Arabidopsis thaliana: one gene and its partners. The protein of the gene in region 1 interacts with the protein of each later gene in a biochemical or structural test. Each region holds a gene or a part of one and is shown on either strand. Other genes may lie near its edges.

Region 1 (3,757 bases):
GGTATATTCCCCGTCAAAGAGTTGTTTGAGAGATCAAGAACAGCTAACATGTGCATCCCGGCTAATGCCTTAGGGATTTCTCCAACCAATTGGTTGCTCTTGAGATTTAGACTCACAAGTTTTTCAAAAGAAGCGATCCTTTCTGGGATTCCACCTGAGAAATGGTTGAAGGAAAGATCGAGGACAGACAAAGATGGACGATCTTGAATCTGGTTAGGAATTTTTCCGGCAAAGTTGTTATGTGAGGCAATGAAGGTTTGAAGATTAGGACTTGAGAAAATGGAGGAAGATAGGGATGAGAGATGATTAAATGATATGTCTATAAATGAGAGTGATGTGGATAAGGCTATATCATCTGGAATTTTACCGGTGAGGTTGTTTTTTGCGAGCTCTAGATGCTGAAGCATTGGTAAGTCACCTGAACCAGCTGGTATAGATCCGGAAATGTGATTTTTCTGGATTCGAACACGAACTAAAGTCGGACATGAGAAGATTTCCTCCGGAATCTGACCTGAGAATGAGTTGTTGAAGAGAATGAGCTTTGTGAGGTTTCTGGAATAGCACAATCCTGATGGTATATCTCCTGAAAGCTTGTTTGATGAGACGTCTAACCACTTCAATGGGGAATTTTTGCCGAGATGCACCGGTAATGAACCCATGAGAGAGTTCTGCCACAGCTCAAGAACCTCAAGGTTTGGTAATTCAGCAATTTTTGACGGAATGATTCCCGTGAGTTGATTCCTCATCAAATTTAGAAGCTGCAGATTCTTCAACTCACCTACTTCCATAGGTATTTCTCCTGTGATCTGGTTATCAGACAGATCAAGAAACACAAGAGAAGTCATACCACCAAGTTCTCGAGGAAGTTTCCCTGTGAGACGGTTCTGGTAGAGATAAACTGTTGTAAGTTGTTTCAGCTGCCCCAAAGAAGATGGAATCTGGCCTGTAAGGTTTCCAACAGCCAAATCAAGGTACTGAAGGCGCGTCAATTTCCCAAACTCTTCTGGAATCTCACCCATGAAGCCATTGTAACCAAGAATAATGGTCTCCAAGGAAGAGAGCTCACCAATCACCTTCGGTACCTTTCCACCAAAGTTGTTACCCGAAAGACCGAGAAACTTCAGATTCTTGAGATTCTTGAAAGAAGAAGGCACTGAGCCCTCGAAGTAACCTCCTCGAAAGTCCAAAACCTCAAGTGTAGTTGCGTTGCCAAGATCTTCAGGTAGAAACCCCGAAAAATTGTTGCTTGAGGCATTGACGTGTGTAAGACCAGTTGCCATTCCTAGACCATAAGGGAAGGTTCCAAAGAAGCTGTTCACACTCACATCAATGACCTTCAAAGACGTGAGATTAGAAAGAGATTTAGGAAGAGAAGACTCAAATGCGTTATTGCTGAGATCAAGGGCTTGCAGAGAAGGGAAGCTCTGAATCTGATCTGACACGTTTCCGCTGAGATTCATGTTGGAGAGAAGAAGCTTAGCCACATAGCCATTTGCATCACAGTGAACTCCTGTCCAATGACAATGAACCAACTCAGAAAATGTTGTGGCATTCTCAGGTCTCTTCCAATCTTGGAGATTATTTGAAGGATCAAAAAGGTCTGACTTGAAGGCCAACAAGATCTCTTGTTCGGAGTTTTGAAATGTTTCAGAAGAAACAAAAGGGAAAAGAGCGAAACCAATGTAATAGAAGAGGAAGAAAAGTCGAGGGATCGCCATTTTTCTCCTCTATTTCTTCACTTTTTGGCTAGTTTTATGGCATTTTTGTGCAACTGAGATTGAAGGTCCCCAAGCGAAGTTGATAATAAGAGAGTGGAAACCAAAAGCTGAAAAACAATGATTAGTCAGAATCTAATTTTATTTAATCTCTCTCAATTATTTTATCATGATTGTGTTTCTTTTTCGTTCGGTGGAATAATATGCGAGTTCCATTGGCGTCATAACAATTTGTATGATAGCAAGTAGTTCGCTTTGTTTCTGCATCTGTGACATTACATAGTAGAAAAAGTGATACAATTTCCTTGATGTTTTCATCTATCTTCGTGTGTTAAATTGTGAATTGTGTTTGAGAAAACGAAATTAGATTATAAGTTTGTTTCATATGCATACCCAAATGCTAAATTGTGAATAAAGTCGAACCGAAAATTTTGAGGAGCACTAATTCCATAACCATATCCTGAAGGATTATCTTGCTGATCTGTGCAATATCAAACAACTAAGCGGTGAGAAAGAAGATTAAAATAATGATAATGGGATATATAATATGAAGAAATCGTGGGTTTCTGAACAGCTAGCTAAATCATAAAACACTGAGTGACTTGTAAAGCTTTGTCCTCATTAGAGATTTGTGGGACAGTGAAACATGGGCAGAGAATGTGTCTCACTTACTGTCCAATATAACTATTTTCTATTCAAAGATGATGGCTAATTAGGCAAGATCAAAGTCTTTTAAGAAAACTACCATTTTAGTTCTACCTCACCAATGATTTGACACAAACAATGTTTTTTTACAAATGATTTAACTTCACTTAAATATGAGTAACTAAAGAACGCAAAGTTTTTATTGGTTATAAGGTTAGTTATATCATCCTTGGCGGTCGAGCTAGGTTGAGTTTCCGCATGTCTTCATTAGTCGGGAGAATGTTTTGTTTCGAATGGCGTCATTAAAAAAACACACATGAAAGATGATGGTCGTGAGAGAATCTTCCCACGTTGTTCCAACATAATTAAAATTAGGAAATAAGAAAGTTCATAACTCCATTGCCAAGTTGCAAGTAGCTAGGAACGTCCCATGACACCTACGTAGAGACTAGAGAGATATACATACATCAAATATATCTACTTACACATGCATTGAAAAAAAAAAATACAAATACATTAATTAAATTATTGCATTCATGTAGACATATATGTTTTTCTAGATCTTATAAACACAGATTTTAATGTTTTTCAAAATACGATTATCAGAATTTTTTTTTCTCTGTATATTAGTTTGAGTTGAGAGATTTAAGGCCATACATATGATATATGCATAAAGTTTGCATATTAATGCATTTTTAGACAAGGAGCTTCAATAAACTATGCATATGACATCAAGACGTAACTGAATATGTAGCCCTAAGTCCGTAACCGAATTTGTTTATATTCGTGTGGTTGCAACTTGTGAGTAAATATGCATGCTGATTGCGTGAAGAACAAAGTAGCATTAAGTGCTCTCACGATATCAAAATAAAGTTTAGAACCATCGAAAAGGGCCATCTATCATTTTTATTTTGTTCTTAAAATCTAAAACATATATATTCGATCGGATATACCCATTAAATGAATGAATCATGTTCACATTAGAAGAATCACCATAATTGATCCCAAAAACTATATGAAACATATTCTCGTGAGTGTATAGACTTTTTGGAGATCGATATCTTAATTAATACATCTAGCACAACTCTATATATTCTTGCGGATTAACATCTAAATTTTACGTACCTCGAGCATATATATCCATTATCGACTATCGAGTATCGACTATCGGTTCGTCCAACACATTTAATTGTTGTAGGTTTGCAAGGTAGATATGGACAGTACCTCTAATTAAAGTTCTTTGTCCTTTCAAATTTATCCTCTATTATCATATTCATAAGAAGGAAAAAATAATTGCTCAAATCTAACTTTATAATATGCCCTTTCATATTTCACATGCACCCATATGGGACTTTTTATCATAATCAACATTTTAAAATATAAAATACCGAATGGAA
Region 2 (3,757 bases), about 18 Mb from region 1:
TGTATGATTGGTTTCATTTATAAAAGCTCGTCTGTAAACGAACCGCTCAAAGCCTCAAACTAGTTGACAATTCATTTATTGAAAATGGTAGAATCTTATTTTTGGTGGTTGAAATAATCAATTCCAACCACTGTGAAAGAAGCAACGTTAGGTTTTGAATCAGAGATTGAGAAAAAAAAACTCATGTCGGTTTGCTTATGTTTTTGGCATTGGATTCTATTATTTGACAACAACAAAAAAGGAATATATAAACTTTTGGTTTTATTTTTACTTTTTACTTTTTCTTTTGATGATAAACTTTTAGTTTTCAGAAAACTGATTAATGTTTCGGAAAACATTATTGAGAGCAAACACTAACAAATACTTTTTCTTGTAGAAGGCCATTGTCATGAAAACAAGTTTTCTTTCTAAAGAAAAAAAATAATTTCGCTTTGGTCAAACATCAAACTTTTTTTAATTGTTTTTTTCTTCTCAAACATCTATTATCATTTGACAATCATTTAAGTTCATTTACTGAATGGTGTATGTATTGTTAAAAAAAATTTTTTTTACTCTTTTAGTATACGTGAAACCTATCATCTATATATGTTTATCAACAAGTTTTGATCTTCTCACTTTTTTTCAACAGATAAAAGTTTTGATCTTCTAAAGAAACATAGATCCCAAGTTAAAATTAAATAACAAGTCTTACAAGTTATGATTCATCAAATTATTATTTTTGATTTAGATAAGATACATGAGCATAATTTTCATGACAAGAAAACAGAAACATAACAAACAAAGATAGATGCACGGTTCTCCTGTCTTTAACCTCTCTCTAAGATGATAAGAACATACAGCAACATTAATTAATAATAGCCAGAACCAGATCTGTTTTATTCAAGCGATCCTCCTCACTTCCTCACCTACAAATCAACAAACATTTAATAAATTAAACAGTTATTGAATATAGTACATCCTAAATAATATATTAGTCTTTTTTTTTGTAAGATCCAAATCTTGATTATTTAAGTATAGGAAAAAAAAACCTTAATCTTATATCTACAACTAATTAACACGTAGTTTTTTTTCAAGATCCAAACCGTTTTGTTTTTTGGTAAACCAAGATCCAAACCTTATTAGTAAATATTTGTTCATGATTTATGTATATGATTAAGAAGTTATAAAAACCTTAATCGCTGTCGCTGTCACTGCTGCTGCTGTGGTGACCATCATCATGATGTTTCTTCTCCTTCTTGTCCTTCTTCTTTTTCTTCTCACCGTCGTGGCTTTTGCCTTCTCCGTCGTGGCTTTTACCTTCACCACCGTGGATCTTGTCTTTGATCTTGTCAACAATACCTTCTTTGTGCTCACCACTCTTGTGCTCGTCAACGTGTTTCTTGTGTTCCTCTTCCTTCTTGTGCTCACCTTCCTTGTTGCCTCCTCCAATGTGGAGTGCGTCTCCGATCTTGTTGATGAGTCCTGCCATATCTTTCTTTTTTCTCTTTCTTTTGTATTAAATCTCTCTTTTATGTGTTTGGTTGCTTTGACGATAAACTTGGATCTCAAAGGGTCTCTATTTATAGCCCAAAATGGATAATTAATACTAATCTATCACTATCAATGAGATATTATTATTGGTTTGTATTTTTCTTAGAGATTACTTTATAGTAGAAAGAAAGATATATGGCGTGGCGAAGATAAGATTAATTCTTCCAATGTGCTGTACTGGTTCTTTAACTGGAAATAATGATACAATTAATTGGGGTAGATTATATTCCTTTAAAAGAAAGAAATATTATATTCTCTTAGATATTTTCAACTACTATGTGGTTGCAATTTTTATTTCTTTTAGATATTTTTTTTAAATGATTCTGACTATGTCCATATTAGGACCATAGTATATAATTTGAAGGCATATAGTATAGATGGGATTAAAAGAACTAAAATTTGGATTTAAACAAACTAACTCAGACGTGTGATTATATATTTGTTTAAATAGTTTTGTTACTTTGCGACCCAATTCAAATGCATAATCCGATTAAAACAATAAGATGTCTCAAGAAACAATCTAGTAAAATTTATAACCAAAAATGAAATATCAACCAAATTAGACTCTTAGAAACACATTTTAATCTCAAAGAAGTGAAGGTTACATTCCAAGAAAATAACCACCCAGTTCTTTGAAATAGACTTCAAGTTTGAACTCTTTAGTTTCAACTACCCAGTTCGTATCGTCTTTATAATTTTAGTGAAAATTTCGTGAAAAAAAAAGAATTTTAACCAGTGGCAATTATATCGAATGAAATTGAAAATCTTCGATTTTGAAAGTTTATTTCAAAGAACAATATTGTTTGGCAAACATAGAAATATGAGAGAAATGGATGAAGACAATCTTCATAATGTGATAGGTGCTTGCTTGACAATTCATATACATCTTAGAAAATAGAACCCTTTTCGTTTTGTAAGAAAAAGTTGACCAAAATAATATCCAAAGTTCCAAACCATGTGGGTTAAACCGTTAAGGTAAGTTGTAAAAAAAAAAACCGTTAAGGTAAATGCGCGCGTATGATTTGTCGTGTAGTGAACTATGAATAAATGCTAAATATGGTCGGCCACTACATTATATTCTCATATTCCAGAATCCTTTGTTATATATTGCTGTGTCGGCAATAATATGAATGACTTTGAAAAGTATACACAATAATGCAATATATATGTAAGTAATTATTTTCATTAGGGAGGAGACCCGCGCGTTGCACGGGGTGGTTTGTTTTTGGTTTTGTTAGTATGTAATTATAACTTCGATTTTTTTTACTGATCTTTGATTAAAAGGGGAATATCTTTGTTATTTGCACCCCTCATTTTAGTTCGGCCCAAATCAAGAATAAACTAATCAACATCAATCCCAAAAAGCCCATAAAAGTTGGTCCATATCACCAGCTTAGTTTTTCTATAAATAGAGAGGCATCTCAAGGAAAAAAGGAGGAAGAAATCCATATTAAAACGTCTTCAAGCTCCTCAGCTCGTTCTCTAGCTCCTCTGCTCGTCCTCAAGCTTATCCGCTCGCTCTCAAGCTCCTCAGCTCGTCTTCAAGCTTCTCAGCTCGTTCTCAAGCTCCTCTGCTCGTCCTCTAGCTCCTCTGCTTGTCCTCAAGCACTTCAGCTCGCCCTCAAGCTCCTCTGCTGGTCCTCAAGCTCCTCAACTGGTCCTCAAGCTCCTCAGCTCGTCTTTAAGCTCTCCAGCTCGTCTTTAAGTTCAGCTCGTCTTCAAGCTCCACCACTCAACGACCATCTCCTCGCCTAGCTGTCAGCTAGTCAGCTCGTCCAATTCCTCACTTAGTCGTTAGCTCGTCCCTCAAGTGCATAAATCTATCTCCTCACCTAGCTGCCAGTTCGTCCATTGACTACACAATCCGCCTATCTCGTCTCCCAGCTCGTCTATACTTTCACCAGAACTCGATTTGTCCGGCTCGTCTCTCTACTACATTTCGTCTAGCTTGGCCCCTGGCTACCAGCTCGTCACTCAAATACTCAGTTCGTCTAACTCGTTGTCTATCAACCAGTTCGCCTCGTAACTAAGTTCGTCCAGCTCTTCGCCTACCTGCCAGCTCGTCACACATCTGCTAGCTCGTCGCCTAGCTGCCAGCTCGTCACCAACCTGCCACCTCCTCTCTAAACTGCCTATCTCAATATACGACCTACCTCCAACGATGACCTAGCTCACTTATTATAATATGAACTACGTATTCTGACCAATTTTATTTGTGGTACTGTCG
Region 3 (3,757 bases), on another chromosome or scaffold:
GAATGTCAAAGATGTTATTTTCTAGAACTATGTCTCATTTAAACTTTATAGTTGAGAATATAAAAGGAAGACAAAACTTTCCAAGACTCTGTTTAGAGAGTACTCTATTTTGTAGGTGAAGATTAGTATGCAAAAGAACAAAAGAAAAATTAGTAGAAGTATAGAACAAATGTGATAAGAAAGACATCAACTAATTTCAAAAAAAATCCTTAAATGATTTTACTAGAAAAGAGAGGGAAGAAAATTAACAGGATTGTTTTTGTTCAATATGAAAAAATGTAGAAGGTAAAAATGAGGGGGAAAAAAGATGAATAGAAAATATTCATCAAAACTCAAATGTAAAATGCATGTATCTTGGTGTGGTTCAATAACCATTTATCTAAGTTGATATAAACAAAAAGCATATTTGGATAGAGTTGAGAACTCTAACAAATAATCATGAGCTAACAATGTTTCTTCTGTTATGGAGTTTATAGTATGTGAATGTGATTGTTGAGAAATCTAACAAATAGTCATGAGCTTACAATGTTTCTTCTGTAGGAAGCATGAGATGTAATGTGTATTTGGGTTCAAAAGGTTCATCACTTAGAATTCAAGCTCACACGAGCATTCGATCACCAAGACAAATTACAGGAATTCACAAATCTGTCTTTCATTACACAGTGTTTTTGATACACATAAAGCTCATAAGGTACACATATTTCTATTTTTACATTCATTAGTTGAAAGGGATAACAATATCGCCAATGTTGTTGTGCCATGGATCCGCCAAGTGAGTTGCCAAGTTCTCCAATGGTCCTGTCCCCGGGTAAGCCGACTGTTGCACACAGAATCCTACAAACGCCAACAGCGCAAGCCGCCCTGTTACACCCACCAAGCAAAAAACACCAACATTAGATATACATTTGTACATAAGTTTGATCAAGAAAGGTAAGTTGTTGTGTGTGCTTACCGTTCTTGATCTCTTTAACTTTCAATTCCTCGAGCTTCTTGGGGTCCTTCGAGTATCCAAGAGGGTCAAATGCGCCTCCCGGGTACTTCTTCTTCTCAGGGTCTTTCTCCATACTTCTCTGGTGCTCAACAAATGCAATGGCTAAGAACTCAATGGCCAAGATTGTGGGCAAAGTACCCCACGGGACTGGGTTTCCCAAGTAAGTGGCTTGACCCCCTGGTAGTGCTGCCCATTCCTGAGCCTTAACCCAGTTTCCATATCCTAATGCTTCTGGTACCAAAATCCCAGGCTACAACACCACCCACCAAGTCCATTAGATTAAACTTAACAAGACTAAACCCTTATGATAAGACAAAGATTGGATATTGAAACTTACAACAGCGAGCATAGCCCATCTACAGTGGATGAGCTCTGACTCTTTGTATCTCTCAAGGTTCGCTGGAACTTCTCCAAGTCCAAGTGGGTCAAACCCAAAGTCACTGCACAATGTTGTACCCAATAACTTAGAAAAACTGAAACTTTCTAAACAACCTCCAATGTTGAAATCAGAACCCTTAAGTCATCAAAAGAGGTTCCAGTAATCTATCTAGAATCTCTGAATACACAACTAAAGGGAATTCAAATTCTGAAAGGAGACAACTTTCTGAAATATGAATACCCAATAACATAAAAAAAATTGAATCTTTCACAAAACGTACAATGTTGCATCATGTCATCAAAACAGAGTAATCTAACAAACAATTCTGATTCCAAACTGAGCAACAAAACAGAGTAAAAGGGTTCGAAGCGTACCCAGGAGCAGAACCGTCAAGGTAAGCTGGTCGTGGCTCGCCAGGCATCCAGTGAGCAGCCATTCTGATACGACCAACATTCCCGGCGTTTGGGAGTGGAACTCCGGCGGATACGAATTTAGACTTGGAAGAAGAGAGAAGCGAAGGGTACACGGCGGCTATGCCACAGCTCATAAGCGAGTTCGACGCCATCGTTTCTCTCTATCTGTCGTTGTGTTTGCCACCAAAGGAGAAAGATGTGGACGAGAGGTGTTTGGTGGAAGTGTGAATGTGGGAGACTGATCGTATAAGTAAGATTTGTGAGATGAGAATCTAAAACCAGATTGCAATTGGCTATACAGAGCCTGCGTGGCTTTTTCATTGGGCCACGTGTCTTCTCGATATCATGTTCTTCTGTTCGATATCCATCTGCACTATGTGGTTCAGATAAAAGCAGAATCTACGTATATTACTATTTTGCCATTTATCCACTGCAACGAGATGCTATCAGATAAGTCTTCCTGTTCGGTGAAACACATTTCTACTAATGTTTTAAAACTTGACCCGGACCGGTAAATCTGCGATTGGTCATGAATCCGGTCTGGATTTATTGCTAAGACTGGAGACTTATCAAACCGGTAAAACTTGGATCAACGAACACATGCGAGGCTAAATCATATGTCTTGAAAGGAGTATCTAACAAACGATACATTTTGAGACAACGTGTTTAGACATTGAAGTGAGACAGAATACCATTTGCAGACACACTGTACCGGTGAATGTTCAGAATCTTTGGAACTAAGTTTCTTTAAATTGTATCTCAATCAGGATATGAATGAGCATAACAACCCATGACTTCATGTCTCTTAGTCAGAAACAAACTTAGATTCTACTAGCACTACTTCACACATAAACCTTTCAACAAACAACACAAATTTGCAGGCCAACACATATGACAAAGGAAACTCAAATTCCAAGCAACTCCAACTGTTGTATACCTAAATCCATCATACAATATATGTCTCTTAATGTTACAACCACAAACTCTGAAACATCAAAATCACATTTTTTTTCCCAGGTGATAGATAGATAGATAAGATCAAATTCCATCATCACAAAAACCAAGTATTGAAATCAGGATCAAGAGCACATAGCTTTCTCCACCTCTTCCTGCAATTCTCCAGTCTTAAACGCCTCAAGAGTAATATCACAACCACCGAAAAACTCACCGCCGATATAAAGCTGAGGAAACGTCGGCCAATTCGAATACTCTTTAAGTCCTTGCCTCAACATCTCATTCTCCAGAATATTCACATCTTCGAAAGGAACATTCAGATTCTTCAAAATCTGAACCACAGTGTTGGAGAATCCACACATCGGGAAGTCTCTCGTTCCTTTCATAAACAGAACCACTTTCTCCGAATTCACCAGTTTCTCCAGCGTGTCTTTAAGTTGCGGCGTAAGAGCCGACGCTGAGCATCGGAATTTAGTTGGTTTCAGCTTGAGATTCGAACCGTAGAACGATAGCTGATGGTTATGGACGACGAGTGCCGACGTTGGTTTAAGAGAGAATCTGATAGAGTGAGGCTTGTTGGTAACGGAGGAGGAGACGACGGCGACCGAAGTTATCAAGGTCGGCGTTTTGACAGATCGGAGAGCCATTTTTGACGACTTTTAGATTTGGAATTGAGAAATTGAAAAGGTAAATGATTTATGAGCCACAGACACTCAGTGCGAGTGAGAATTGAATAAACCATGTTGCCAAACATCACCACTAAGCCGGTAGTGCATGTCATAATCATGGGTTTAAAAATAAAAATTAGAGGACATTCCGGTTCGGTTTGGTTCGACTCTTTAGATTCCGGTATTTTAGATATTAAGAAATTGGTTGGTTCCACTTGGATCGTATTAGTATTTCGGTTTAATAATTTTAGAGAAATTATCAGGGCATCAAATGCTTTTCAGTTTTTCAACACAGAGCTAGTTCTCTTTTCTTCATTCACAAGGTATGTATATATCTCTACACACCTATAAA

The links.
Region 2: of the proteins of AT1G08590 (region 1) and AT1G54410, one has a biochemical effect on the other in vitro, tested with the Arabidopsis thaliana proteins (one study listed by BioGRID).
Region 3: of the proteins of AT1G08590 (region 1) and LHCA1, one has a biochemical effect on the other in vitro, tested with the Arabidopsis thaliana proteins (one study listed by BioGRID).

The regions. Positions count from the first base shown.
Region 1 is NC_003070.9:2,716,820-2,720,576, reverse strand, and holds the start of AT1G08590 (Leucine-rich receptor-like protein kinase family protein), read right to left. Parts: upstream 2,040-3,757; 5' UTR 1,719-2,039; coding exon 1-1,718.
Region 2 is NC_003070.9:20,309,134-20,312,890, forward strand, and holds AT1G54410 (dehydrin family protein), read right to left. Parts: upstream 1,718-3,757; 5' UTR 1,469-1,717; coding exon 1,172-1,468; 3' UTR 1,171-1,171; intron 906-1,170; 3' UTR 340-905; downstream 1-339. Other genes in the region: AT1G54420 (uncharacterized protein), read left to right, coding at 2,486-2,505, 2,943-3,285. UniProt on the Arabidopsis thaliana protein: Intrinsically disordered and metal-binding protein. Binds to the divalent cations cobalt, nickel, copper and zinc, but not to magnesium, calcium, manganese or cadmium.
Region 3 is NC_003074.8:20,338,988-20,342,744, forward strand, and holds LHCA1 (chlorophyll a-b binding protein 6), read right to left. Parts: upstream 2,190-3,757; 5' UTR 1,936-2,189; coding exon 1,745-1,935; intron 1,432-1,744; coding exon 1,329-1,431; intron 1,242-1,328; coding exon 953-1,241; coding exon of another isoform or gene 894-952; exon of another isoform or gene 862-893; coding exon 719-861; 3' UTR 517-718; downstream 1-516. Other genes in the region: CXIP1 (CAX interacting protein 1), read right to left, coding at 2,863-3,384. UniProt on the Arabidopsis thaliana protein: The light-harvesting complex (LHC) functions as a light receptor, it captures and delivers excitation energy to photosystems with which it is closely associated.